Diceros bicornis minor: one gene and its partners. The protein of the gene in region 1 purifies or fractionates together with the protein of each later gene. This does not show direct contact. Links are inferred from orthologs where the notes say so. Each region holds a gene or a part of one and is shown on either strand. Other genes may lie near its edges.

What was found. The genes of interacting proteins can lie anywhere in the genome.
Region 2: the proteins of MET (region 1) and PLXNB1 purify together in Homo sapiens (co-immunoprecipitation; 3 studies listed by IntAct). This does not show direct contact. The link is inferred for Diceros bicornis minor from reciprocal best matches to the Homo sapiens genes MET and PLXNB1.
Region 3: the proteins of MET (region 1) and GAB1 purify together in Homo sapiens (affinity purification with western blotting; 3 studies listed by BioGRID and IntAct, with this or other methods). This does not show direct contact. The link is inferred for Diceros bicornis minor from reciprocal best matches to the Homo sapiens genes MET and GAB1.

The regions. Positions count from the first base shown.
Region 1 is NC_080742.1:67,624,165-67,631,325, reverse strand, and holds the start of MET (hepatocyte growth factor receptor), read right to left. Parts: upstream 3,059-7,161; 5' UTR 3,000-3,058; intron 1-2,999. UniProt on the Homo sapiens protein: Receptor tyrosine kinase that transduces signals from the extracellular matrix into the cytoplasm by binding to hepatocyte growth factor/HGF ligand. Regulates many physiological processes including proliferation, scattering, morphogenesis and survival.
Region 2 is NC_080741.1:49,801,260-49,808,975, forward strand, and holds the start of PLXNB1 (plexin-B1), read right to left. Parts: upstream 3,035-7,716; 5' UTR 3,008-3,034; coding exon of another isoform or gene 2,993-3,007; intron 461-2,992; exon of another isoform or gene 267-460; intron 1-266. Other genes in the region: ATRIP (ATR-interacting protein), read left to right, coding at 3,605-3,851, 5,737-5,867, 6,950-7,120. UniProt on the Homo sapiens protein: Receptor for SEMA4D. Plays a role in GABAergic synapse development. Mediates SEMA4A- and SEMA4D-dependent inhibitory synapse development. Plays a role in RHOA activation and subsequent changes of the actin cytoskeleton.
Region 3 is NC_080750.1:33,150,501-33,158,581, reverse strand, and holds the start of GAB1 (GRB2-associated-binding protein 1), read right to left. Parts: upstream 3,035-8,081; 5' UTR 2,594-3,034; coding exon 2,522-2,593; intron 1-2,521. UniProt on the Homo sapiens protein: Adapter protein that plays a role in intracellular signaling cascades triggered by activated receptor-type kinases. Plays a role in FGFR1 signaling. Probably involved in signaling by the epidermal growth factor receptor (EGFR) and the insulin receptor (INSR).

The DNA.
Region 1 (7,161 bases):
TTTACCAGCAAACAGGATGACTCCTAACATTGTCATTCTCCTTAATAATTAAATATGTGTGATGTCCCCTTAATAATTATGGATCTTGGTTCAGTTTCTATGTGTGATATTTATCTGTATATCTAGATTTTAAACTCTTCAAGGGCAGAGATTTCATTTCTTCCTTTTAAAAAATGTTCCCCTAGTACCAAACACATAGAACGCTCAACATACAGTTCTTAGCTATTTTTGGTGAGGCGAATGTGGGCCTGGCAGCAACTGAGTGTCTGTTAAGAACAGAGAATCAAAGTGATCCTGAGTTGACATCAGTCAGTATACCTACCATTTATTACTAAGAGGTGACTATTTTGCAATGAGCAAAGCCCTTGGAGAAACTCTGCCCTGAAGGCTCAGAGTCAAAGACACCAGTTTCAACATACACCAGGGAAGTAAAGGAGGTTACATGCCCAGCCCTTGAGCTTCCGCATATTTTCAATCCCCTTAAGGTGGCACAATTAAGAAATTCGGGATTCCATGAACAAACACAGAATATTATGGATGGTGGGAAAAGAAAGCATAGACAGTCTGGTGAGAAGCATTAAGCCTAATGACAGCGAAGAAACCATGAAATTGGAGTGGAGAAAAGCATAGAAGGGCTTGGAAGCAGCTCTGACCAAACCAAGGGAAAGGGATGAGGAGGAAGGGGGCAGAGAGACCGGAGCTACTCTGAACGTGCAGGGAGCTGTGTACACACCATGGGTGTGTCACCATAGGCACTGGTGCAGCCACTTAGAGAACAGTGTGCGTCCTGAGAGGATGTTAGACCTTTTGAGTTATTCACTTTGTTTTGAGATGACCACATTTGAGAAAAAGTTTGTTTGAGGCTATTATACCCATTTGTAAAAGGAAAATTAGACTAATGCTATTTTGGACTATTTTTTAGACTAATGCTATTTTGGACTATTTTTTAATCAACAGCTAAGGAAATTGATTTTTGAAATGTATTTCTTAATCTAACCCTCATTAAAACAAATTTTTTTAAAATTTCAAGATTATAGTGGGACATACACATACAGTCTTAAAGGAATTTATAAGAGTATTTCCCCCACTTAGAAAAGTAACATTTTTCTTTTATTGTAGGTTTAAAAGTCATGAAAATACTAGTTACGAGCTTTCATAGTGACCGGCTGTGGTTCATCTTGCACATCTTTATCATTCAGATAAACCTTATCCACTAATTCTGAAGGCACGGAGTGTACATCTAATGTAAACCTCTACTGCAAGTATTAAGAACAAAGCAATCTTAGAAAAAGCAGTAGTCAGCAGATCATCTTCTATATGCCATAAATTCCATCATATTAAAATCAAAATATACTTAGGTTAATAACTACAGGCTTATGCACTGTCAAGTTCGAAACGAACAGAATTTTTAAAACACCAGTATATTTTATAGGCAATCAGACACAAAAAATTTTGGTACAACAAAAAATTTCTTATGAGTGATGTAAATTTCACCTGTCTTATTCAGCAACCCAAAAAGAATGAACACTGAATACACCACAGGCTTTTGCAGTCTATGACTGGAACCAAAGCATCTCAGCTCTGTTCCATTACGGACGGTTACATGTTAAAACAAAGCCCAGTAAGCTCAGAGCTGGAAAGGAAAGCTATGCACCTGTAAATAATCTGAGCACCACTTACAGTTTACATAAAAGCACAATTTATGTCCCAGTAGCAAAGAGAAACATGATGTACACCATTTTCAGATCATCCTCATGCAGAAAAAATTCATTAGTCAGCTATAATAGTTTAGCTGTAAAGGAAAATAATGTTTTTCTGAATCCATTTGCATGGCAATGTGCATGTGTCTGGCTGATGAAAATGACAGGAGAAACCTCCACCCAACTCTACACAACGTTAACAGTCTTCTTAAAATTCAGGAGAGGGTCCAGATAGTCTATATTCTCTCCAACGTCAGTTTTTACAATCCTCTCACATTCATCGACCATCTTGAACTTGGCAATTAAAGTATCCTGATTATTTTGCCTAAGAGAGTTGACAATATTTCATTCTGCCCCAAGGCTCCTTTGAAGATAAAATTGTTAAATTGTAAAATACACTGGGCAACTATTCATGTGTGAGCCACTGCAACCCTCTCCAACTGTCAAATTAGTAAATGACTCTTTTAAAACATAAAAGGTATGAAATGGGAAACCGTACTTGGGAGTAAATTCTGCATTGGCAATAGCTGGTGAAAATACTTTGGTTGGTGCTTTAATTACTGGGTCAGTACCAGTACAAGCCAGACTGCCGACCGCTGGTTATAATCTATTTCACCTAATAAGATAGATGTCCTCCACAGAGTCCCAGCCAAGAGAGAAGGTACGATTGAAAATGATGGATCACAAAGCCCTGTGTATTTGCTAGAAATGAAGAATTCAGACCTTCACAGAAACACCTGCCCCTTGGAAGGACCCCCACCCACTAATACAGATAAAGCAGGGTTGGGAACAAGGAACAAGGAAACCGCTCTGCGGCTCAAACCTTGCCGGCTGCATCACCCTGGGACTGGGTGACCGGATCCCCTTTGTAAGGGCTGAGTCAGATCACAGCCTTGAAACTTGCCCGGCCATAACAGTCATACATCACCCTCTCCTCTGACTGGCTGTGGTTTAATCTTGTCATCTGTGTACATCTTTATCATTCAGACAAACCTTATCCACTAATTCTGAAAGCACAGAGTGTACATCTAATGTAAACCCCTGTTGCAATGTATTGCGCCCCTCTCTCTCCTGAGTCATACAGGTGGCCGTCAGAAGCAACCCCCTAAAACGAAAAGCCCCATTCTAGTTTCGACTCCCCCCTGGCCACAGTCCTTCAGTTTCTGAAGCCCCTAAACTCTCGCCCACCTCCCCGGTCTCGTCCTCTGGAACAGCAGTCAGGTCTCTTAGGGGAACAAAGAGAGGAGAAGCGCTGGGGCCAGGGGTGGGTACGGGATCTGAAGCGGACTGCAGTTTTACCTTGCGGCGCCCAGGACCCGGCGGAGGAGAAGTCAGCCGCGCTGGGACCACCGGCGCGCTCCGCGCCTCCCCGCAGCAAGTCAGCTGTCGCCCCGCATCTGGCTCGCGCCCTCCGCTGGGCTCTGCATCTGGTCACAAAGCGCTCGGGGCTCGGGGCGCTGCGGGCGGCGAGAACCTCCGGGTCACCTGCCTCCGGGCCCAGCCGAGCGCCCCGTCGGCTCGCCGACCGCGCTCCCTCCGCCCCTCCCCACCCGCGCGCTGCCCGGCCCGTGACTCAGCCGGGCATCGGCGCGCGCGGCCCGGGCGCGTCCAGGCGGGAGGCACGGCCAGGCGACCCGACCGCGGCGCTCGCCCGCCCGCCCCAGCACGTGTCTGTCTGTCTCGCGCACTGTCCGTCCGCTGCGTCCGCCGGTCCGAGGACCGCTGAGGTGGGGACTGGCACCACCCAGAGGGGGAAATCGGCCCCCGCCCTTCCTGCCGCCCGCGCGCCGCGCCTGGCCCCGCGGGGGTCGCGTTTCCTCCCGCCCCGCCCACGGCAAGGTGAAACTTTCTAGGTGGAGAAGTTTCCTCGCCCTGGCTGCGCGCTCTCTCCTCCCCCAGCTCGGGGAGTTTGAAGTTTGCAGCACCGGAGATAAGCGGCACCGAGTCTCCCCCTCCTGGTGCTCGCGCGGCGAGCGTCCCCCGGCGCGCCCCCTCCGCGCTCCCCCGCGCGCGGCCGGCGGGAAAAGCGCGAGGCTCTGCCCGGAGCCTCTCCCGCGGCTCCGCCGGCCGCCGGGCGCTGCCCGGCGGGGAGGACGGTTAGGGCGCCGCGGAAACAAGGCATTCATTGTCCAGGCGGAGGTGGGAGTGGGTGGACGAACTGTCCCAAGGATATCGTTATGCAACCATTATCCTCTACTATAATAACTCGGATTTCTGGAAGGAAGAACAACACAGGAGTTGAACCCTGATGAAACTTCACTATCACTTTTTTTTTTTTTTTGTAGCAGGAAACAGGCTGATTAAATAACTAGGCAAACATCAAGGAACAAGCAAAACAGAACAAAAGTTTAATTCTTGAATGTTGAAATCTTACGATTTTTTTTTTAAAAAAAAAAAGGGTGTTAGGGCCTTGGTGAGTTGTATCAGGATAACTTTTTATATCTCACATGTCTGAATATAAAAATTGACATTAACCTTCAAGAGAAAATAAACACTCAAAGGTAACAGGATCTAAGGAAGAGCGTTGCCTATTAGGACTTAGCATTCTCCTCTCTGGCTCTGGGAAGGGCTTGTCAGATAGTGGCATCTGGTAGTTATTGACAGTCATGGGACAAAACGACATTGACTGTGTAGGTTCAGGAATTATTTACTACAGAATGAAAAATAGGAAAATATAGTAAGAACAGTTACCGTTTTCCTGAGAGCTTACTATGTGCCAGGCGCTTTACCCGGGACTACACAGAGCCGTTTCCATCCTCAAATGTGATTACCTCATGATTCCCCAATTTTATGGAAAAGGAAAGTTCCCGTTACATAATACTGTGCTAGAACTCTGCATTGAACCATTTTGCAGATGAGGAAACTCAGTGCCTGAGAGTTCCTGTGAGGGTCACACAGCTGGTTAGTAGAAGAGGAGAGGTTAGAACCCAGCTCTCAAATCCCAGTCAGGTGTTCTTCACAACATGCCAAGAGGCCACAGCCTGGGAAGGCTAAATAAACAACACAGCCCTACTGAAGATTTCCTAATATCACATGGTGTAATTTAACAATGACTAGGGTTCATATTAAAATGCTAATTGACTGGTTGGAGGGCCCTGGGCCTATTTATGGACAGGTCAATTATAGTTTTGGGGTTCAGTACCAACTTCCAATAAAAGGTGAATAAACTAATGAATTTACACACACACACACACATAATTAGTCATAGTTGTCCAAAGGAATGGTTAGAGTGCTGATTCTGTTTCCTGGTTTCCATAGCAATATGTTAACTGGATTTTTAGATTGCATTATGTAGTTGCCTTAACAGGTTTTCTGAGTTTGAGTGCCATGATAAAAATATAAAAGAAAAAAATTACAATTAAAGTGGTAGAAAGACCCAGAAAATCCAGTACAAACTGGAAAATAAAATAGATTATAAATCCAAATAACCTATTATATATTTTCAGCACTGGTTTCCTAGTTTCTAGTTACTGACAAATTTCAGTCCAATTTTGAAACTTATTAAGAATTGTCATTTTGATTTATTAATTATAAATAAGGAGATAATATTTTATAAAAATAACATAACTAAGAATAGCATAACTAAAAGTAACTGAGTGTATGAAAATCAAATAATTAGTTTTTACGCACTACCTAGATAGGTTTGATCCAGAAAAGAGTTAAAAGTAATTTCACATATTTGGAAAAGGAAAGAAGCAAAAAAAGAAAAAAAAAAAGGTCATAGGAGTTCTACAATTCAATTTTGGTTTTGTGGCCAACTTTAATTGTTGCTGTTTAACTTCCCTTGGATCCATGGCATGGGTGACACACTGTATGATGAAGTTCGGTTGGTATTTTCCTAACCAAACCAAACCCCTGTGGCCAACATTGTTGGCTGGCTAAGCCAGCACCTGTTCCCAACCAGATATTCCCTTGCCTGCCTCCACTCTTATAGCTGGAAAGGAGAAATACTTGCTTTCTCAGACTCCTTTGCAACCAGACATGACCATGTGATGTCATTCTGGTGATGAGTTAAGCTGAGGTCTATTGGGGACTTCTGGAAAAGAGTTTAGTTTCCCTAATAAGCTGGTGCCACCCCTTCTCACTTCTTGCGTTCTTGATTTCATATATAATGCTCAGCAAAGAGCTAGCCATCTTGCAACCATGAGGAGAAAAGTTGGACTCTGACACTGCTGAGCGACAGCACCAATGCCAGTAGACACCTGCTTCCAGATTTTGTTTTGTAGAAAAATACTTGTTCCAGACACTGTTAGCTGGGATTTCTGTCGTCTGTGGCCAAAAGCATTCAAAACTGATATACCCCTCAAATGAGGAGCAAGACATCTCCACGTGTAGCATAGCAGTTAAAGGTGTGGATTTTAGAACCAGACAGCCTGGATTTCAAGCCCAGTTCTGCTGCTTGCTAGCTATGTAACTATAGGCCAGTGGCTTAAACTCTCTGTGCCTTATCTGTAAAATGGAGATGATAATAGGATTATTGTGAGGATGAAATGAGGAGCTATAAGTAAAGCACATAGAATAGTGTCTGGTAAAATATAAGTGCTTGAAAGACATGAGCTATCCTTATCTACACACTTGTGGATGACATAGTGCTCAACTATAAGCAAGATCCCATCTCTTAACCCTGAGATGGCCTAATGGTAGCCATGGTCAAAGGGGAGAGGAGCAGCAGTGTCTCGCTCTAAATATGCCACATCCTTTCTGCTCTCCCTGCAACACATTAAAATTGGGATCTTTGAAGGTACTCTAAGTTTGTTCACATGTTACTGTTTTTGAAACGAAAGAAATCTTCTTAGCACAGGGGCTTCATGCTGGCAACCTGTAGAGACTTGCCTAGGCCCACAGAATGTTTTTTAAAAGTTTGAATTGCAATAGACAGAACATATGTTCTGCAGTTTGCCATCATCCCATCTTCTCTTGTAATGCATCCCGCCTACCTCTGATCTTGACGTCACTTTCTCCTGTAGGTGTTAGGATTTGTGACCCCTGTCTTAGAGTATTTATTCTTGGATTCTCTCGCTCTACTCTCTTCCCTTCCCTTGCCCCGTTGCCCCTATTAGTGTGCCTGTGGAAAAGGTCTCCACAGAAGGACAAGAAGAATTATTCAGGTGCTGGTTCCTCAAATCATTTCTGTGGGCAAATACAATTTGGGGATATAGGACTCTTCTTACCCTTTTTAGAGATACATCATGCACATTAGAATATTGAAGATTCTGAAAAATCACAGGGAAAAACAAAACAGAACAAAGCTAAACCGAAAATATGCCTTTTTTTCCTCATAACATCTTCAGTAGCCATTTTCCGTAAAATTAGTTTAATAGGTAACATGCTTTGGGAAACCTTGTCTTAAAGAATGCCAGCTACAAAGGGTTAGAATGAGGCTCTTGCAATATGAACTACTTTTATGTTGATTTGTATTGGTCATTTGCTTGTGGCTGGGCTCTCTAAAAATAAAACATGC
Region 2 (7,716 bases), on another chromosome or scaffold:
GGATGAGGATTAAATGAGCCAATCTGTGAAACACACAACACAGTGTAGATCCAGACCAGTGCACAGCCATTACTTGTGCCTCTGCCTCATCCTCATTCTGCATTTGCCCAGAGTAGACAATATTGGTAAAGCCCTGTGCATGCTTGTGTCACAAAGAATGCCCAGTACAAGAGCTGAGCCTTACTGGGATTCATATCAAGCCCCTGGGGCGTCTACCATAAGAACGGTATTTTTCCCTAGCTGAGACTTTTTCCTTTTTTTTTCAGCCACAGGTGGAATTAAGAAATCGGGGAAAAAGTAAGCTGTTCCTTGTGCCTGAGGCAGTGGTGATTGTTAATTCCATTCCTGTTTAAACATCTGGATTCCCTGCCATAACATCTGTTGCCACCTATAATTAGAATGAAGTGTTGTCTTGGAGCCTGTTGTACATTTAAGAATAAATTTTGTAAAAAAAAAAAAATCATACAGTGACTCGTCTTTATTTAGTTCTTCTCACTCAGCCATTTCTACCTTAGCTGTGAGGTCAGAGTAAACCCAGCCCAGAATCCTGCCAGTGTTCTTCAGTCTTTGTTCTATCCCGAATTCTGTACCACCTGGAGTTAAACCAGCTCATTTCAAATGGCTGTTGTTTCTGTCTGGTTGTATACTCAACAGAATACATTACATGAGGTTAGTGGAAGAATTTGTACTTTGGAAAGAAACTCATCTTTCCGGCCGGCCCCATGGCTTAGCGGTTAAGTGCGCGCGCTCCACTGCTGGCGGCCCGGGTTCGGATCCCAGGCACGCACCGACGCACTGCTTCTCCAGCCATGCTGAGACTGTGTCCCACATACAGCAACTAGAAGGATGTGCAGCTATGACATACAACTATCTACTGGGGCTTTGGGGGAAAAAAAAAATTATAAAAAAAACAGAAGACCCATCTTTCTCTGTCATAACATCCATGTTGCCATTTGTTTTAATGGGATTGTTCATCTGTTCATGTAAGTCGAGTCTCCTGTGTGCAGGCTGAGCACGTACCAGTGAACAATTCCTGCTGTCAAGGAACTTCTCTATTGTGGGAGGGGAGCAGGACAAATACATATGATATGCGTTGTGAAAGGAAGAAAACTGGGGAAAGATTCCTGAAAGTCTCTAAGTACCAAGCTTACTCCAGAGCCCCCAGGTCTGCATTTCCACTAGGGCTTCAGAAAGGTCCTTGCTAGGTTCCCATGTCTTATACCCCCCATTCAACCCATCAGCAAAATTAACTCTGGCCCCTTTATTCTTCCTCCAGTACCACCACCACCACCTCCCCATTCTAACCCTAAAATCCCTCACCTGGATTATTGCAATCACATCCATACTTGTTTTCCTGCCCCTACCCTTGCCCCCCTACAGTCTAATCTTCACTCAGGACCCAGAGTGATCTTGCTAAACCATAAAGTCACTCTGTCTCTCCTTGGCTCAGAATTCTTCAGTGCCTTCTTAGAGCACAAGCCAGCGTCCCTACAAGGACCAGATCTAAGGGATCTGGATGCCACTCTCTACCCACTGATATCTTCATCCCCCTGATCCATCTTAAGCCACAGTGGCCTAGGTTCCAAGCAAGCTCCTGCTTCACTGTGTTCGCAGCAACTCTTCATTCTGCCTGTCACTCTTGTGGTAGTGGAGATTCCCTCCCTTTAGAGAACTGAAACATCACAGTAGTGAGCTTTTCTCCGACCACTCTATAAAGTGGCAGTCCCAATATTTCTTACTCCGTTTCATTTTTTTCTCCTGACATTTGTTGATTATCTACCACCCTTGACTCCAGAAGGAGTAAATTCCTGGAAAACGAGATCATCCATAATGTATGCCAAATGCACATGTATTGAAACACTTAATCCAGAGGCACAAGTCTTTGGATTTCCCCTCCAGACCCTTGATAAAATTATAGGAATAATGCTAATAATGCTAAGCTTTCTCTGAGAATGTGTTTTCAAAGGGGCTCTAGAACTAGTCTGAGATTTTGCTGAGTCAAAACTGGAAAAGATTTTGATAGATTGAAGCCTGTTTTATGACTCTAATGTACCTGATATCCACAGAGAAGAAAAAAAAAAAGCCCGCTTTGGTCCTCTCTCAGAAAGTTACACAGCCCGCAGCACCTTCTTTGGACTTTAGGTGTTCCCCGTGAGGCCTTGAAGCTGGCACCCAGCCCTAGGCTGCTGAGAACAACCTTTCTGAGAGGCAGTGCCAGCACACTGCCCCTGAGAGTAAGCTACTACTTTTTTATTTGGTGGAACCTAATCCCTCCTGACAAATGAAGTATAATCCTGTCTCTTTATAGGACCAGAGACCTGCAGCAATTAAGACTTACGCATTCAACATTTGGACAGGTATCTGAGGGAACCTACCAAATGCCTCAAAACTAAACTCAAGTATTTAAGACCCTCTAGGTCCTGACAACCATCTCCCTTTCATCTACTGCTTTCACAAACATTCATAGGACACTCACAGGCTAAGTTTGGCACTGAACATGCAAGGATGAAAAGAGTCTTGTTCCTGTTACTCTCCAACAGCCTGCTCCTGCTAACCGTCCTGCACACCACTGCTGCCGGATAAAATCCTGTCGGGCTCAAGCTCAGCTTGAATTCTTGCTCCTCTGTGAAGCTTTACCTTCTCTCTTTGCCATAGATAACTCCTATCTGGCATTTGTGTGGCCTCCACTTCGGTGTTGTATTCTTGTCTGAGTAGTCTTGTGGGCCAGCCTCCTTGCTAACTCTTGATAACTCCCACCCAACCTGCAGGACAGCCCAGGTGCCACTTCCAGGGAGACTTCTTGACCTCCTGAGCCTTACTCATTTCTGTATGACCAGCGCTTGGGACAAAAACACTCAAGGACTCTCAGAAAAATTAATGAATGAATGTTAACAGCCTAAGCAGTTAGTTCCCACCCTCCTCCAACACAGGCACGCCCTTTTCAGGATTCCCCCCACCCCCTTCTCCTTAGACCTTTCTTCCCCAGACGTACCTCAAATGTACACATTCAAAACATTTACTGTTCTCAAATCCGTGTGCTCACAACAGCTCTATTCATAATCTTCGCCCAGCCCCACTCTCTCCAAGAGAGCCTCGGGGTATGTGAGAGGTAGGTCCGGTGGGAGGAGAGCGAGGTCGCAGAGACCAAACCCCTAAGTGCTGCCTGCCTGGGTTCACGTGCGCACTTGTGAATGTCAGGGCGAACTCCTCCAGCGTGGCTGTGTACCCACGGGATGCCAGGGAGGAAGCGCAGAGCCACCTGCGCGGTGGGGTCGGTGAGCCTCAAACCCGCAGTCCTGGTATCTCAGTTCGCGCCGCCAGAGCTCCCGCCACCGACCTTCTGAGTTCCAGGCGCCGGTACCCGAACGGCGGGGCCCAGAGGGCTGGGCGCCACCGAGGACAGGCACTCAGCTGAGCACGGCGGCGCGCTCGGATGTATGTCATTCCTCCGCGCCCGCCGGCTGGCAGCTGATTGGCCCTTAGGATCGGGGGCGTGGCCCGAGCGGCTGAGGCGAGCTGCGGCGCGCGGGCGGTTGGTCCAGGTCCTCCGTCTCGCGGCGACCAGGCCGGGCTCGGTGCCTTCGAACAGTGGCTGGCGGCAGGCATGGCTGGAACCTCCGCGCCGGGTAGCAGGAGGCGGAGCGGGCCCCCGGCGCCTAGCCCTGGCCCGCCACCCAGCACCGGGCACCCTCCGAGCAAGCGGGCCCGGGGCTTCCCCGCGGCCGCCGCCCCAGACCCTGAAGACCCTTTCGGCGCGCACGGGGATTTCACCGCCGACGATCTCGAGGAGCTCGACACCCTCGCGTCACAGGCCCTGAGCCAATGCCCGGCCGCGGCTCGGAACGTGTTCAGTGAGTGCATCTCGGGGCCTTTTCCCCAGAGGGTGGTGCAGACCTCGCCAGACCCCCCTTGATGGCTGTGGCTTCGGAACCCCAGGGCGACCGTCGCCCCCGGTGTCTTGCACCCACACTGCCCCTTCACCTTTTTAAAATATATGAACAGCTTGATTTAAGCAGCGGTTGTGTCCCAAAAGGTCCTTTGATTTTGAGGAGAAATGTATCAGGAATGTCAAACAGCTGATTTGAAATATAGAAAACTAGGTTAACATTTTACTTTAGTTTCTAAAGTTTGCCACTAGGTTCTTGGTTCTAAGCCGAGATCCTTGAAACACGGCTACCACCGCCATCGGAACCATCACTGCCTGTGCATGGGGACCCATTCTCGTGACGGGTTTGGGAGGCTCTAGATCTAATGAAGATCACGCTCTCCCTTGGGCGGCATGAGCATAAGAGAGGCCTGGCAGAGGCAAGAGATGAAAGAGTCTTATTCTTTTATACAACCAATAAATTGTACTAGGTGACTAGACCTTAGGGACTGCAGCACACTTAGTAATGAATAAAAGACATAAAGCCCTTCCTTCATGGAGCTTACGTGATAGTTGGGGAATGAGTGAAGTCTTGTGGGGCTCCCAGAAAGAGAAAGGTTTTGAGAGCACCTTGCATCTCTACTTGGATGTCTCAAAAGCATCTTAAATTCCACACAATCATTTCCTGGAAATCCAGCATGTCCAGCACACTGCCTGGCAAAGCAGATATTCCGAAAACACTCATCAATGACCAAATGTTCTGCACAACAATGACTAGCCCGCTCTCCATCAGGTGGCACAAGGCAATGGCTCCGTTTCCTTGACCATACGTCTAATTCCTTTCAAAATCCTGTAACTTTACCTTCTTATTCCTTCTCTGGAATCCATCCTCTTTGCATCATCTCTACCATATCTCTGATCTATGTCACCATTGCCCCTCCTCTGGACAACAGTCTGGACAACTCCTTGTCTCCCTGTTTCCAGTCTTGACTCTCTGCAAGTTGGACTTCACACCACAGCCACAGTGATCTTTTCAAAACTCAAATTTGTCTGTGTCTCACAGATTCACGCGAGCATCCCTACTGAAAGCCTTTAATGACTTCCCACTGCTTCTAGTATAAAGATCAAAATCTTTAACATAGCCTGCGAGGCCTAGCATGGTCTGTCCCTTTCCCACTCCCTGAATTCTAGCCACACTGACTTTCCTTCATTCTTTGAATTCTCTCTGCTTCCTTACAAGACAGAAACTTTGCAAGTTGCTGTTTCTTGTACATTGAGTGTGCTTTCCATCCATTCCCCATCCCCATTCATCTGGTTAATTCCTGCTTGTTCTTCAGCTATCAGCTCAGTCATCACTTCCTTAGGGAGGCTTGCCAATCATTCACTTGGGTCAGATCCCTCTATTATAGCCTTTCCTATATTTGTTCTCCTCTGCAGCTTTTATCACAGTTGTAATTTTACATTTATTTGTATGATTATTTTTGAATGTCCTGTAAATTCCATGATTGTAAGGACTATATCCATTTTGCTCGCTATTGTACCTTTAGAGACTAAATTGTGCCTGGCATATTATAGGTACTCAATAAATATTGTTGAATAACAGATCACAGGGTTCTAACCAGTGAGATCCCCACAGCTCCTTTCAACCTTTAGACTCTTAAAATTGAGTGGGGGATGGGGTGAGGGTAGCAGGATCTGTTATTTCATAAAGATCATTTATGAGTTTAAATCATGTTCTTAGGTTGGAGATATGTATATTGCTTACTAGATCTTTCTCTAATTTGCTTTCAAGAGTGATTCTTTTCAGCATTGTCTGGCAAAGGTGGGAAAATATTGGGTCCTGAAAAGTATATGGGAACTGTTTTTTACAGATGTTCATAAGGTCCCCAGATTAGATGGGATGTCAAAAAATCCTGCAGGGAAAAACAGAGCAAGTGTTCCAGTTAAAGATAATTTTGAATTAGAGGTACTTCAGGCACAATACAAAGAACTTAAAGAAAAGGTAAGTGACTTAATTTGTGGTTTTGTAGTTACTTCATTCACTTATGCATGTATTATAAAGCATTGTACAATAAAATATATAAAAGTTTTAAAACAAGAGCCCAGATTCATCTCCATGAAATGGAGGAAGGCTGGGGAAAGAAAGCCAGAAAATTTAGGCTGAAATAAACTAAATCCTTGGTGAACATGATGTAATCTAACAGAAATCAAAATATAGTGATGCACACCTGAAATTTATATAATGTTATAAACCAGTGTTACCTCAATAAAAAAAAAAAATATATATATATATATATAAAAGAGGGGCTGGCCCAGTGGTGTAGTGGTTAAGTCCACGCGCTCCGCTTGGGTGGCCTGGGATTTGCGAGTTCGGATCCCGGGTGCAGACCTACGCACCACTCATCAAGCCACGCTGTGGCAGGCATCCCACATATAAAGTAGAGGAAGATGGGCACAGATGTTAGCTCAGGGCCAATCTTCCTCACCAAAAAGAGGAGGATTGGCAACAGACGTTAGCTCAGGGCTAATCTTCATCACCAAAAAAAAAAGAAAAGTAAATCCTGAGATTCCTAACAGCCAAGGCAAGAAAGGAAACACTGTACACCAGATCCAAAAAGAGACACAAACTTTCTGTTTTAGCACGGAGATAAATTTATAGTATATGCCTTATATAAGGAACACAACATCATAATGGTTGCTATTTTCATTAGCAGTTTTGCAAAAAAAGCAGACATCTTTCATATGACCATCTATAGGTCCCTAGGAAAACCAAGAACATAATGTGGAATTTTAGTTCTGTGAGGTGTGTGACCCAGATTTTTTAATACCTACTGGAGCCTACAGAATCTGCATGCATAAGTGACAAGTGTGTCCTTAAGCTATGTTGCTGAATATCAGCTGTCTCATGAATGGGCCTGGCAGATCATGGTGACATCTGGTTGGTAGGGGTATATTTTGAGCACTCATTGGTCTGTAGGACATGTTTCACGTGTGCTTTCTCCGTCTCCCCAGCAACATGTTGAAACAAGTACATATATAATTTTCCCTTACAAATTTGTCACAAGATTGATTTGGGATTTACAGATGAAGGCAATGGAAGACGAAGTCCTCCTTAAAAATGGAGAAATTAAAATTTTGCGGGACTCACTGCATCAGACAGAATCCATTCTAGAGGAACAGAGAAGATCCCATTTCCTTCTTGAGCAAGAAAAAACTCAAGCACTCAGTGACAAAGAAAAGGAATTCTCCAAAAAGGTGACCCAGAGCATTTGCTTTGCTTCTTACTGACATCAGCTTATCAGCTTTGTCTGCTCACTGAGTTCCTTTAGAAGCAATGACCAAAGTTGCCTGTAAATCTTCGAGGAGGTTTTCAACAGTTGTTTGTCTTAAAGACTTTCTGGTATCAGCTAATTGCATATACTTTTCTTCCAGGCTTTGCATGTGTTTTAGCAAAGGACTTAGATGAAACTCTGCTTTGCAGGTCTTGGCAGGAATAAATCACTAGCTTAGACTTTCCAGAAACAGACTTAAATTAGGGCTTTTGGGAAGATCAGAAACTCAATTCCCTAGCTTAGGCTAAAAGGAAATAAATTGGCTTCCATAACTAAATCTGGGAAAAACAGGTGTGCTGGGGCCTCCAATGACTCAAGCTGTGCCAGAACTCATCTTTATTCTCTATGCTAAAAACAGGCTCCATCCTTATGGTAGAGGATGTGTTCTCCGGAAGCTCCTGGGCTCATATTTCATGGCTCCAGAGCAGACTGAAAACTTGGGCTCCCTCATCTCAAGCTTTAAAATTCTGGGGAAGGCTCTATTTTATCTAACCCAGTCAGGTGCCTGTCCCTGAACCA
Region 3 (8,081 bases), on another chromosome or scaffold:
TGACAGTTAAAATATGAGACAAGTTTCATTGTAACGTATAACACTTCAGTCACCCTCTTGGACCCCTCAATTCTAACAGCCACCCTGCCCAGTCTTCCTGGGCCATCTCCATGGCCCAGTCACTGGTGTGTAAAGAAAAGACTAGTGTTCCTCCAGGCAAGAAAACCCCGCCTCCTCCCAGCTAGCTGTTAGGCATATTCTTCCCCCTGTTGAAAACACAATTTAGGTAGCCTGCTGTCTCTCTCAAATATTCTCATGGTTTCAGACTACATTGGATTTGTTCCTCAAAACATCTATTAAAAAAAAAGAACAAACATACCACTCAGCTTGGGCACACAATGAGAAACCACTATGAATTGCTGGCTCACTTTTTCATGTATACTTGACCTATCTTCCCAAAGACCCAGAAAGCTGCTTGAAGGGTCTTACGTTTCTTGAGCACTGCACATCTGATCCACAGCCCACCTATTCCTCACATTCTCAACTAACATTCACAGACTTATAGAAAGTTATAATCTGAAAGGACCTTTAGCGATGATCTAGTCTGAGCTCTACCTGAAATGAACTAGATGAGAGGCATTAACCTTTTAGAGCCCAGTGAGTCAGGCAGATCTGGGTTCAAATCCCACCTCTGGTACATTCTAGTTATGTAGACTGTTTTCTCATCTGTAAAACAGAGATAACACCTACCGCATTAAACTGTTGTAACGACCAAATAAAATAATAAATACTTTTTTAAGTTAGACTTTCCTTTTTTTTTTGGTCCTTGTTATGACATAATCTTTTTGGCTGATTTTCTTCTTGGTTTATATTACATTAAATTGCAAGTCCAAGAGGCAGGGCTGTTTTCCTACTGTGTTTTCTAATCCTAGGGTGCCTAGTTCAGTGCTTAGCATCTTTTGACGGAGCCACAAACCAACCACGTGAAAGAATGCAGTAATTCTCTATTATCACTACCTATTTCAGCAAACATTTTGTTCTTTAGTTCCCCCAAGAACCCAATCACTTAGATCTATGTCTTTCCTAAAGTGTGCCCTCTCAAAACAAATACATCTCTCTCCCTACTCCCTCTTCTCACACACATACAACGTTCTCTTTAGAACTAAGAGCTGAAAAAAACTACTACTTCTCTCAAATTTTTGGAATAAAGTCAGCATCTTTACCATTAATATTCAGGCAAGCTGTGATAGGTGGAGAGACAGAATTTGGAAGGATGCAAAATCTCTGGAGAACTTTCTTAGGATTTGTGGCATCAAATCTTTAAATGAGAATTACTTGTCTATAACAAATTCTGGCAGAAAGTAAATCAGAACTCACTGCTGAGTTGTCAGTGAAGTTAAATATTTCACTCCATTCTATACAAGCAAACAGTGACTAATAGGATTAACCCGAGCTTTAACACTGGGTGTAGATGTCCTTCAACAAGAAACAGGTTCCATTAGAAGAAGTGTCAGCCCCCTGATAGTAAATTTATATTTTAGGGGGCATAAATTTTGCTTTTGAAATATATTTTACTAGAAAAATATTTGCTCCAAATGCCAGGGCAAAAGCATCAGTTCTTTCCTTTGCAGGGGGCAGCGACAAAAGCACCAATGGGGGAGAAGGGGCGAGATTTCAGACCCCTGAAGAAGACACAGATTTCCACCAAAGAAACATTGATTCTTTCAAGGAATTTTCTCCCTAACAGCTAAAACGGTTTAACACATAATCAGCATCTTGTATCAATCACACAAATACCATTTAAGCAACTCTGGTGGCCTGGGAAAGGACCGCAACAAACAGAAATCCTTACTGGCCCCAGCTGTCCCCTCCTGCAGAGCTTGACAGCGTGTCCAAGGCGCCCAAACACCAGCCACCAGGCTCCCCCCAGCGCCCTCCTCTCGCAGCAAACTGCCAAGGCTCTCGGGCCAAGCTCCAATGGCCCTCGATTCAAAACCGCGAAAATGTGAACCCTGTTAAGCAAACGGTAGAGCGCGTAATAACTTTTCTTTCCCTTCTGCGCCGATTTGAGATGCCTGTCTCTAATACTGACTTCTCAGGTCCACAGCCCGCTTCCCGCAACCCACCTCGAGGGAAAGCGAGAGGCGGCGCGGACCAGCGAGAGGGCTGGTGAGTTCTAAAATCTCCGCGGTTTTCCTAGTGCGGGAAACTGAGGACACAGCAGCCCCATAACGATGAGATGCAGCTATAAAGAAAGAATGGTCTTCTCCTCACCCCTGCTAAAAGGAATAATAGAAACACGCAGCGGGCGTTTAGCTGGACATGCCGGGCCCTCCTATGGGCCGAGAAGGCCCGCAAAGCCGGCGTCTGGAATCCAGAGGAGGAAAGTTGCCCGGCAAAGAGGAGGCCAGGGCGTGAGTGTCGACTCGGTCCCGAGCATGGGGAAGGGGTCGAGGGGGAAGAGATGGGGACTGACTTGGAGAAGCAGCCCCGCGCGCGGCCGGCTGCAGCCGCCGGCGAGCCGGCCGGGGAGGGGTGCGGGCGCGGAGGCCGGCGCGGCCGAGGCCGAAGCTGTACTTACATAACGCTTCAACTTTTTCTCCGGGGGGGACTTGCGGAGCCATCCCGAGCAGACCACTTCGCCGCCGCTCATGGTGCGCGCCTCTCCGGCTCCGCGCCGGGCAGCAGACGGGCGGCCGGGCGCGCTCCCGACACGGCCGACGCCCGCCGCCGCGCAGCGCCGAGGACCTGGCTCTCCGGCGGCGCAGCCCGGGCCGACGGGGCGGGCGGGCTCTGCGGCGCGCTGGCTCTCGGCGGCCGAGCCTCTCCCGCGCAGGTCCGCGGACGTCGACAGGGGCGGGCTGCGCCACCAAGGCCGACAGCTCCGGGCAGGGGCCGCCGCCGGGCCGAGGGCGCCCGCCTCACCGCCAGGCGCGCCGTCCCGCCGGCCGCCCCAGCAGCGCTCCGGCTCCGCGGGACTCTGACCCAGCAAAGCGCCGGAGCCTCGGTCCCCTGCGCTCCGCCCTCTAGGGACAGGACCTCCCCAGAGCGTTTTCCGAAACAGACACTACGCTGCACGCGTACACACACACACACACTCACTCACACACACAATGACCCCGCGCGGCGCCCACTCTGGCTCGCCCGCTCTCGGTTTCGGTGCGCCCCGGGCGATCTCCTTCCCCCTCCTCGGGGGAGGCTGGGTCACTTCCCCGCGGCGCCCAAAAGCGCGGAGGGAAGGGGGAGCCGCGAGGGTCCCGTGGGCAGCGGGCGCAGGGCAGGTCCCGGGCCACGGAGGGAGCCGCAGGGTCGGCGGCCAAGCGCGGGGCGTCGCCGGGCGGCGGGCGCTGGGGAGGGCGCAGGTCCCGCCGGAGGGTGGGTTCGCTCTCGCCGCCGCCGAAGAGGGCGGGAAGCGGCGGGGGGACGAGGCGCTCGGCTGCTGGGCTCCCGGGACTGATCCCACTGTCCCGTCCCCTCTCGCTCTTCCCGCGCCGCCTCCCCCACCCTGGGGCGCGCGGCAGGTTCTGAGCGGCCCGGCCCCCAGCCCCGATCCCTCCCTCTCCCGGCCTCCCGGCGCTCTCTTCCTCCCTTTCCTCCTCCCCTTCCCACGTTCAGGCCGGCTCAGGTTTCTGTCCAGACTTTCTCTGAAACTCCGCCAGAACGCTTCCAGCCAAAACAACAAGGGCCGGGGGAGGAGGGGACGGACGGAGGGAGGGAGCGAAGGAGGGAGGGAGCGGGAGTCCGAGAGGCACCCTGGGATCTGTAGTTCGAGAACCTGGAGCGGGGTCCTCGGCCGCCCGGCGGCGGTGGCGGCTGGAGCCCCCAGGGGGCTCCTCGCCGGGGAACGCGGCCGAGTCCTCGGAGAAGGCAGCGCCACCGGGGCTTGGGCGCGGGGAAGAGCGACTAACGTTCTTGTTCAGTCTGCGGTTTGCCATCTTGGCTCTGGCGGGTGTCACTTCGGAGTTTGTACTGTGCACGAAATCAGGAGTTGGGGGGGAGGGGTTGGGGCATGGGGTGGGTTTCTCTACTTGACAGCCTGCAAAGCAAAACAGCCTGGGGAGCCCACGGCGCCTTGGAGAGTCCGCGACCCCGCTGATCTCTGCCGGCGAGACTGAAGCCCCAGGACCGGGAGGGCGAAGGCGAAGGGGAGTGCGCCTTAGGGACCAGCCTGGCGGGGAGGACAGAGGGGGACCCACCCAGCCTGGCGTGGACTGGTCCCCGAAGCAACCCTGCCAGAGTGGTGGGAGCGCTTATCGGGGCCAAAGGATTTGACCGAGTCTGGCTCTGGGACATTTTAGTCTCACACTGCCTCCATTTGTTGCCAGTTTCTTCCACTGACTTCGTATTTCTTTAAAATCTACCCTTGGGATGTTGGACTAGAAAGGGAAACTTACTGGATGTCCTAGTTCTATTTGCCTATTTGTATGTGTTTTACAATTATGATCCCTGGTCCTGAGTTTAACATGATTGATCCTGTAATAGAAATATCTTTTCCACTTTTTTTATGAAAAACAAAGCCCCAAAACAAATTTTAGAAGGTAATATAAACAATCAGATAAAAGGAGATAAGTGAACATTTCTGGGAAAAATAACCTCAGGCATTTTCTTATTAACACATCATTCGTGTTCAGGAGTTCCTCTGAGTCTGAAAATGTACAATTATAGTAGGCTGGGGGTGGTGACAAGGGTCCCTGCACTTACGGAGGTGACATTCCCGCGGTCGCATAGGATAGTAAACAAATAAAAGGTCAACATAAGTACAGATTGTGATAAATGTGGTGCCCTGAGGGAAATAAACACACAGTAAGGTGAAAGGATAACTGGAGTGGACTAGGTCAGACAGAATAAGAAGGAAGTCTTCTTTGAGGAGGCCTTTAGCCAGAGATTTAAAAGATTAAAGAGAAGAGAATCAGACTTGTTTTGTGGAAACAAGGAAAACCATAAAGAGGATTGAGAGAAAGAACAAGCAAGAGGGGTTGTTGTTGTTTTTCTTAAATTTAAAGGCTTTTTAGAACATGAGTGTAAATTTTATGGCAGCTAATAAACCAAAGCGATTCTTTCTAAGTATGTGAACACAGATTTTGCCTCACGTCCTCCAAATGTGTTGTTGGCTTTAAAAAATTCACCACTCCCTCCACTCCTGTTGTAAAGTCCTTTTTAATGGAAAATGGTAGTATAATGTACTATTTACCTTTGGAAGTTCCAATAACTTTTTTATTTCAAATAAGGGATCCAATTATCTCATTTCTATATAAGAAATCTTTATTTTTCCCTATCTTCGACTGTGTTGTTTTAGATTTGTATTTGTAGAGATGAAATAAGGGTTGAGGAGAGGTTGAAGATAGATATGTCTCCATGTATGTATTTTAGGAAGGAAATTTACATTATTTTTATATTATATGCCGTTTTCAGATTATCTGTTAAACCATGTTCTATATCTTTGTATTTTAAAACGTATGCTGGAAAAAGCTATTATACGTGTCTTAAATTGCATTCATACAACAAATATTTATGGAACGTCCTAGTATGTGCAAGTCTCTGAGGATCTCAAATACAACAGAGAGGAAAGCCAGACCTGTTCCTGCACTCCTCAATCCCGGAGAAGTCTGTGTATGTTTTATTTTACAGATTACAGATAATTTTATTAAATTTTACAGATAATTTTATTTTACAAATAGTTAGCCCCATCACTTCTTCAATATGGTTGATAAATGTTGTGAAAGAAAAAAGAGAATGTGCAGCTATGACATACAACTATCTACTGGGGCTTTGGGGGAAAAAATAAATAAATAAATAAAAGAAAAAAGAGAGTCTTATTTGGGCATATAATAGGAGGATCTACCCCTTGGGAGAAGAGTGGTTAGATTTGGAAAGACTTCCCTGAGGAAAAGACTTTAAACTGAGATCCTCGGGATGAGTAGAAGTTGGCCTGGCCAAGTAGCGGAGGAGAACATTCTAGACAGAAGAGAAACTACAGAGAAACTCCTAGGTGTATAAGTCCTTAGGCTTGAAGGAGCTCCTGAATGAAGGCAGCAGTGAGGCAAGTGAGAGGGACATTGGGCTGAGTGAGGTTACAGAGGCAGGCAGGGGACAGATTGTGCAGCTCCTTGAAGATCATCTTTGAGTTTAGATTTTCCTTAGAGCAAATGATCATGTCATCGCCTGTGACCTTCAGATCGCCTCAAACAATCGCCCCTATGGACATTGTCATTCACCTCCGGCATCCCACCTTAACCATGTTATCTTCCAACTTGATCTTTCAAATTCTCCTCTATAATCATCTTTCTTCTCAACAACTGTTGTGGCCTATTGACTCCTCTGCTTTCTCATGATCCATCAGACCTCTCCTTACTTCACATCCCCGCTTATCCAGTTTAAATTTTGTGGTCCACATTTTTAATAACATGCTCCCAACTCACAAAACCCCAACTCTAGATGAACTCAACTCTACTCTCTTTTACACCCAAGCAGCTGAGTACTGTTGGAGCAAGTCACACAACAGGATGAGTGACATCACTATAAATTCGTGTTCAATGACCTCAAATACATCCTCAACTATCTGCAAGGGCAGATCTTGGTTTTCTGGAACTTGAAGCTTCTACAGTTTGGGGAGAGTCCTTTTAAAGGAAAAGAATATACAATTACAAATACAAAATTAGGATGAATATGTATTTAGAATGAAGAAATAAATAAAAAATTACTGGAGGCTTAGAGATACAGATGCCTTTCTTTTGAGATCTCTATGATTACCAGAATCCTAACGTGGATATGCTTCCTGAGTGCTTCCTGGTTTCCCTTCTCAACTAGGACACACCACCTCTTCCAGCAGCTCCCTATTCTCATGGGGACTTGTGCAATGAGGGTCTCCAAGCTGAAGCTTATTTAATTTCGTGGATGTCTCTGCTGCCTGCCAATCCCACTTCCTTTATCTGCATAGTGCAACTAGCCTATTTAATAACTTTTCTCTCTTTTTTTTTAAATAACAGCTTGATTGAGATATAATTCCTATACCAGAAAATTCACATTTTTTAAAGTTACAAGTCAGTGGTCTTTAGTATATTCAAATATTTCTTCAACCTCACCAGTATCTAATTTCAGAATATTTCATCGCCCCAAAAAGAAACTCCATTTCCATTAACGGTCACTCCCTATTCCTCCTTTCTTCCCCTCCTTGTAGCCCCTGACAACCAGTAATATTTCTGTTTCTATGGATTTGCCTCTTTTGGACATTTCATATAAATGGAATCAAACAATATGTGACCTTTTGTGACTGTGTCCTTTCACTTAGTGTAATGGTTTCAAAGTTCATCTATGTTGTAGTATGTATCAGTATTTCATTCCTTTCTTTTGCTAAATAATATTCCATTGTATGGATATACCACATTTTATTTATCCATCTATCAGTTGATGGACATTTGGATTGTTTCTACTTTTTGGCTATTATGAATAATGCTTGTGATAACTGAAACCTTCTTCAAACTTCTCAAATTTCCAAACCCTCCACCTTTTCCATCAACTGAAGATATTTCTTACAGCTTCACCAGAAAACCAAAGTGCTCAGATGGAAACTCCTTCAGCTTCTAGCCATTAAACATGCAAACCTACATACCATCTTCACTCCTCCTACTCTCCCTTCTTCTTATGGCAAATAGAGGACATTGCTTTCCTCCTATGATAGGCCAATCCCTCCACTTTATGCTTTGGATTTCATCCCATTGTACCTTCCCAAGAACCTTTCCCTATAAATGGTCTCTTCTCTATATATCTAAATACTCTACTCTCAATGAATTCTTTCTGTCACCTTTTGTGTGTATGTGTGTGTTCCAATAAGACTTTATTTACAAAAACAAGTGGTGAGTGCCGGCCCTAGTGACCTAGTGGTTAAGTTCAGCATGCTCCGCTTCAGCAGCCCAGGTTCAGTTTCTGGGTACAGACCTACACCACTCATCAGTGGCCATACTGTGGCTGTGGCTCACATACAAAATAGAGGAAGATTGGCAACCGATGTTAGCTCAGGGTAGATTTTCTTCAGCAAAAAAAGAGGAAGATTGGCAATAGATGTTAGCTCAGGGGGCGAATCTTCCTTAGCCAAAAAAAAAAACCACAAAAACCCAGTGGTGAGCCAGATTTGGCCAAAGGGC